Canis lupus familiaris: one gene and its partner. The protein of the gene in region 2 binds, or shares a complex with, the protein of the main gene of each other region. Links are inferred from orthologs where the notes say so. Each region holds a gene or a part of one and is shown on either strand. Other genes may lie near its edges.

Region 1 (3,570 bases), on a different chromosome or scaffold from region 2:
AAACAAATCTATACCATTCTAAGGAAAGACATGATATTCCAACATTTCATAAAAGGAGCAGGTCTTAGAAGTCTGTTCTTAGGTGAAAGTCTGAAATACAAAACTTCTATTCTTTCCAAGAATCTGGTCCAATCTGCAAATTTCCATTCCATTTCCATGTCATTTGCATGTAAAGTGTAATAAAAGGTAAATGGTTTCCTATCCACATCCTTGTTATGAAACACTTAATTTTTCTCTAAGAATGAGGTAAAGCTATACAAAGTAACATGGAAAGGTTCCATAATATTAAGTGAGAAAACCAAGCACAGAACAAAATACATGGTATTTAAGGACTTTTTAAGTCTATGTGTGCATAAGTGTATGTTTATCTGTCTACACATAAAAATAGATCCAGCAGGATAAATTTGCAACAATGGCTATATTTCAGGAGGAGAATGGAAGGAGGGGTCCAGTGCCTATTCAGCATGCATCCCGCCCCCCCAAATCTGCCATTTCTAAGTAAAACCCCTATTGGTCAAGACTCCTATGCCATCCCCAGATTCTTGGTCCAAACCAATTATGACCATCCCATTACCCTGACCAGTCCCTAACCTGGGGCCGTAAGCGGATCCCAACACAGCAGTGACTCACTGGGCTCACTGGGCAGTTAATCAGCTATCTCTAGCTCTCCAGATTTCCTGGTGGTGGGGGGAGTCTATCCTGGGCCAGCTCTTCCTAAATGGAAGGGTCACATTATAGTTCTCAGAGGAATCCCACTAAAACTCTCCGCAGCCAGCCCTGAGGTAAGTGAGCAGTACTCCTTACCTGCATCTCAACATTCTCTTTTTAAATGTTTCTCAAAAAATCACCTCTTCCCAAATACTCTGTATTCCAATGACACTTCTATAATCTCGGAATTGCTGGAGGAGTTCAAGAGGTATGGAACTGGTTTTGGGGCATTTTCTTCAAAAAATGCACATATGGTCTGACTCCTACAACTTTGTTATCTGCTATCTATCATATCAGAGCATCTAAGCCAAAACTTCTAAATTAATATCCTGTCATTACATGCATTACACAAAGAGGAAAATATTAGATGAACGAACATGGTCATTCAGGATATATAGAATACTTCAATCCAAAATGCTAACCCTGTAGGAATTTCAGGCATGGTGATGAGGTCAACGGGGTATTTTGAGAACATGCAACCAAATTATACAGAAATGGTTATCACTGTCATGTCAGAGTCTCAACACAGAATTTTCAAGTTCTGTTCAGAAAGTTGGAAACACAAATACACCAAACAGCACATGACCTATCCTTAAAGAAAACATAGTATGAGAACATTTATTATAGTCTAGATGAATGTGAAATTTGTTGTATTTGTTGTATTGTAAAGGGCCTGTGTGTGTGTTCTAGTAAAATGCTTTCCCCCTCGTTTCTTAGATATTTAAAGAAAATGAGTAAAGCAGAAACCATATATTTTCAAACAAGCATGATGATCTGGAATGGTTTCCATTCCAAACTCTTAAACTATTCATAAAATTCTGGGGAATTCCATGTACTAATCAGGCTGTTAATATGATTTGCAAAGTTCCAAAATAAAGGTTTTAAGGCATCTGCACCATTTACTCTACTAACCTGACTAGCTATCTCTGAAGCTTTTCTGGCATGTTGTATTTCAAGGGTGTTGGTGCCAACCTGCATTCCTTTCCCTTTAATTTTTGACTCCAGGTCTTTCTTGTATTCTTTCTGTAAAAATAAATAAATAAATAAATAAATAAATAAATAAATAAAGCAACATTTTATAATATTTAGACACTCTGCAGACAGACATTCATCTGTAATCAAGGATACCAAAAAATGGCTGCACACATTTAAAAAAAAAAAGAAAGAAAGAAAACACGTTTTACATTGTACCATGAAATGATCACCTAGAACTAAGTTTCTGAACGGCTTAGAACTATATCACTATTCTCACTGAAGAAGGTTATATGAAGCTCTGAAGATTTCTTCTATACATGGTGAGGGAGGTGGGTTTAAATGAGTTGATGCTGTAGAAAGAATGCGGATTTTGAGGCCAGAGCACTCAAACTGGGAATGCTTAACATCTATGGTTTACTCATCTGCAAAATGGGGGTAATATTTCCTCCATGCACGAGCCCTCCAAGGATCAATGAGACTGCATATAACATAGTGCTCAGCACATAGTAGGTGTTCAATAACTGAAAACTTCTTTTGGTCTTTTACTCCTCTATTCATGTGCTAAGGCTGATTCACTGCTGTTCCTGCCGCTGTCATGCCATTCAACTGTTTCTGGATGGACTCTGCGCTTGAGAGTCTGAAGTGATATTTCCAAGTATTACTGACAAGTGATCACAAGATCGACCTCTTAATGTGAACTGCACATGTCACCATAACAGAAGAATCGGTCAGAATTACTAATTTAGGAATATGTGCTGATAATATTAACCAAAGACATGACAGTGGCTTTTAATGCTTTAATAAATTTAAAGAACACAGATACAGCCAAAGATGGCTATAATTTTTTAAAAAACATAATAATTTTGAATCCTTCTTTTAAAAAGATGTTTTATTATTTATTTGAGAGAGATAGCAAGAAAGAGCACAAGTAGGGGGTAGAGGGAAGGAGAAGCAGGAAGACTGAGTCGGGGCTCGAGCGCAGGACCCTGAGATCATGACCTGAGCTGAAAGCAAATGCTTAACCAACTGAGCTACCCAGGTGCCCCTTGAATCTTCTGTACTTACAGTGCAATTAAACTACCAAAGAAGTTAACTGAACAAATGAATGACCATGAGAACCATACTAGATCATCAGCACATTACACTCCTCTGGACCCAGACACAATGATTAGGGCAGGTGTAGATTAGGGCAGGATAGAAGTTGATCCAATGAGATTCATTCCTAGGACCTTAACTGTAACTATAAGAAACAGATGCTCACTTCCCATTGGGATTACTGGCACAGATGAGTTATCCCTCTGTTAGGAGGGGCCATAGCTTAGAGATAGCCTCCCAAGTTTGAAGCAATAGAGAAGATAACAGAACTGAGAGAGGAAGGAAGAGAGACATCATTCAAATTCCAACCTCAAAGAAAATAGACTTTGGACTTTCTCTATTCACAAGCCAAAACATTCCCTTTGTTGCATAACCCAGTGTAAGTTGGGTTCCTATCATTTGCAGCCTGACTAGTAGGGTTACCACCATCACCATTACAACAGTTTATAAGCCTGTGAGGACACAACTTTAAATTTCTCACCTCTCAATTCAGTCAGACTCTCCTCAAAGCTCAGTGCCATTACCTGATTCCAAAGTCATGACAGACGCCAAGGATGAAAGAACTAACAGCACTTCAGAGGCATTTCATTCCTTCCCACAAATTCCACGTAAAGTGAGCAACGGCCACTTCCATTTCATAAAGAGGTTTATGGGGCAGGGGGTCACTGAGCAGCCGAGGAAAGGGTTGGGGGACACTGCTGGGTCGTGAACAGGAGAGCACGTGAACCGCACCACAGTTACTGACGGATCATGACAACACGGTTCCCAATTCTCTGCCTTTCACTTCTTTAA
Region 2 (3,570 bases):
TCTTTGAGAATCAGCCTTTAGATTCCATCAACAATGGCTCTCCAGATGAAGATAACATCAATAAGGGCATTGCTGGTCAAGAAATTATTGCTGGTGGTGATGTGAAATATACCACATGGATGTTTGAAACTCAGCCCATAGATACTCTGGGGGATCATTCTTCTGGCACTGAAGAAAATGCTGAGAAAATTCCTGAGCTAGCCAGAGGAGATGTCCGCACTGCCCGGTGGATGTTTGAGACAAAGCCATTAGACTCAATGAATAAAATGCATCAAGAAGAATCAATGGTAACTGCCACAAAGGACATAACTGGTGGGGATGTCAAGACTGTGAGATATATGTTTGAAACTCAACATCTGGATCAGCTTGGACAGCTTCATTCAGTGGATGAAGTTCACCTACTACAACTCAGGTCTGAGCTCAAAGAAATTAAGGGAAATGTTAAGAGAAGTATAAAATGTTTTGAAACTCAACCATTATATGTTATTAGAGATGGCTTAGGTCAAATGCTAGAAATTAAAACTGTTCACAGAGAAGACGTTGAAAAAGGAGATGTGAGAACAGCACGTTGGATGTTTGAAACACAGCCCTTGGACACAATTAACAAGGATATCACAGAAATTAAAGTTGTCCGAGGAATATCTATGGAAGAAAATGTCAAAGGTGGGGTGAGTAGGGCAAAGTGGTTATTTGAAACTCAACCTTTGGAAAAAATCAAAGAAGAGTCAGAAGAGGTCATCATTGAAAAGGAAACAATAATAGGTACAGATGTCTCCAGAAAGTGTTGGATGTTTGAAACACAGCCATTAGACATTCTAAAAGATGTTCCTGATACAGAGCCTCTAAGATCTGAAGAGATAATAGGGGGTGATGTACAAACTACTAAGCATCTATTTGAAACACTTCCGATAGAGGCTTTAAAAGATAGTCCTGATGTGGGAAAACTTCAAAAAATCACTGCCTCTGAGGAAGAAAAGGGAGACGTTAGACACCAAAAATGGATTTTCGAAACCCAACCTCTGGAAGACATTAGAGAAGATAAAAAAGAGTACATACGAACAGTGAAACTTGAAGAAGTTGACAGAGGAAATGTAAAGAATTTCACACACATCTTTGAATCAAACAATTTAATTAAGTTTGATGCATCACATAAAATAGAGGTGGAAGGAGTCACAAGAGGGGCTGTAGAGTTAAACAAATCACTTTTTGAAACAACACCACTTTATGCCATTCAAGATCACCTTGGAAAATATCATCAAGTCAAGACAGTGCAGCAAGAAGAAATCCTAAGAGGTGATGTAAGAAGTTGTAGGTGGCTTTTTGAAACAAGGCCCATTGACCAGTTTGATGAAAGCATTCATAAATTCCAGATAATCAGAGGAATATCTGCTCAAGAAATACAGACCGGAAATGTGAAATCTGCTAAATGGCTATTTGAAACCCAACCTCTTGATTCGATTAAATATTTTAGTAATATGGAAGAAGTAGAAAGTAAAACTGAACAAGTGACAGATATTGTTAAAGGGGATGTCAAAACTTGCAGGTGGCTTTTTGAAACCCAACCAATGGAGTCTCTTTATGAAAAAGTTTCATTAATGACTGGCAGTGAAGAAATTCACAAGGGAGATGTCAAAGCCTGTACCTGGCTCTTTGAAACTAAGCCACTTGATACCATAAAGGATGACTCTGAAGCAACCACCAAATTGCAAACTGTAAAACAGGAGGAGATCCAAGGTGGGGATGTTCGTACGGCATGTTTTCTTTTTGAGACAGAAAATTTGGACAGCATACAAGGAGAGGAAGGAAAAGAAATCAAGGCCGTGGAAATGGATATCCAAGCTGGAGATGTCTCCAGCATGCGGCATAAATTTGAAAACCAACCTTTAGATTCCATAAGTTCCAGTTCAGAGGAAGTTTTGAAAAAGATCAAAGCCCTAAAGACTGAAGATATTCAGAAAGGCAATGTTTTAAATTGTAGGTGGCTTTTTGAAAACCAACCAATTGATATGATAAAAGAGAACCACGAAGGTGACGAATTAGTTAAGACAGTGACAGACGTACAAGGTGGGGATGTAAGAAAGGGGTGCTTTATTTTTGAGACTTTTTCTTTAGATGAGATTAAAGAAGAATCTGACTGTATCAGCACCAAGAAAACAATTACTGAAGAAGTAATGAAGGGTGATGTAAAAAGCTACAGAATGCTCTTTGAAACCCAGCCACTCTATGCAATTCAAGATCGAGAAGGCTATTATCATGAAGTGACAACAGTTAAAAAAGAAGAGGTGATTCATGGAGATGTACGAGGAACGAGGTGGCTTTTTGAAACAAAACCACTAGACTCAATTAATCAGTCAGAGACTGTATATGTTATTAAATCTGTCACACAAGAAGACATTCAGAAGGGAGATGTTAGTTCTGTCAGATACAGATTTGAAACCCAGCCACTGGATCAGATTTCAGAAGAATCACGTGATGCTATGCTCACTGTGGACTATATTCAAGGTGGGGATGTAAAGGCAGGTAGACAATTTTTTGAGTCTGAAAACAGTGGTAAGAATACTTATGTAAGAACAGTAAGTGTCAGTGAAATACAAAAGGGCAACGTTAAAACATCCACTTGGCTATTTGAAACCCACACCATAGATGAGCTGAGAGGAGAAGGGTCAGAATATGAAAACATCAAAACAGTTACCCAGGAAGATATGCAGAAAGGTGATGTTAAGCAGGCGGTATGGCTTTTTGAAAATCAAACTTTGGATTCTATTAGGGAAGCCGACGAAAGCACCACAAAAGTCATCAAGGAGGAAATCCCTCCTTCTGATGTCAAGACAACTACATGGCTCTTTGAAACCACACCCCTTCACGAATTCAATGAAAGTAGAGTAGAGAAGGTAGAAATTATTGGCAAGAGCATTAAGGAAACATTAGAAGAACTCTACTCTCAAAAAGTCATTGAGGCTCCTGGAATCATCATTGAAGCTGGTGAAGTTGGGGATGTTCGAATGGCAAAATACAAGTTAATGAATCAAGCATCTCCTGAGATACAGAAAGAAGAAATTATCAGGGTTGATCTCAGAAATATAATAATGAACCTACTTTCAAAAAGAGACTGCACAAGAAGGGAGATTTGGGTTAGTGAAGAAGAGAAGGGCAACGTTAATTTGACCAAAACTCAATTATTAAACCGATCAACAGAATTTCATGCTGAAAAAGAAGAAATAGTGAGTGGTGATGTCCAACAAGCAATAAAAAACCTGTTCTCTGAGGACAGGTCTGTAAAGAAAGGCATCTTAATTCAGGAAGATGAAAGAGGAGATGTTAATATGACTATCTATTGTCTTCTTCATGAAAACACTGGTGACACAATTAAGCGTGAAGAAGTAATAGGGGGTGACGTAAAACGTACCATTCACAATTTGCTGTCTTCCATATCGAACAATAAGATATCCGAAAGGGCGAAAATCGATGCTTCTGAGAGGGGAAATGTTCAGTTTTTCACAACATGCATAGAGACTGGAGCTTTGGATTATCTTAAACAACTCCAGGAAGGGTCAAATGAAACACTGACAG

Evidence for each region. Proteins that work in one complex are often made in the same cells at the same time.
Region 1: the proteins of XIRP2 (region 2) and NEBL are in contact, whole or in part, in a crystal structure (PDB 4F14), measured with the Homo sapiens proteins. The link is inferred for Canis lupus familiaris from reciprocal best matches to the Homo sapiens genes XIRP2 and NEBL. Residues at the interface, in NP_689594.4 of Homo sapiens: Pro2420, Pro2421, Pro2422, Thr2423, Leu2424, Pro2425, Lys2426, Pro2427; in NP_006384.1 of Homo sapiens: Tyr963, Asp964, Tyr965, Asp969, Asp971, Glu972, Ile987, Asp988, Asp989, Gly990, Trp991, Met1004, Pro1006, Asn1008, Tyr1009.

What each region holds. Positions count from the first base shown.
Region 1 is NC_049223.1:9,996,039-9,999,608, reverse strand, and holds part of NEBL (nebulette), read right to left. Parts: intron 1,732-3,570; coding exon 1,621-1,731; intron 1-1,620. UniProt on the Homo sapiens protein: Binds to actin and plays an important role in the assembly of the Z-disk. May functionally link sarcomeric actin to the desmin intermediate filaments in the heart muscle sarcomeres.
Region 2 is NC_049257.1:12,519,798-12,523,367, forward strand, and holds part of XIRP2 (xin actin-binding repeat-containing protein 2), read left to right. Parts: coding exon 1-3,570.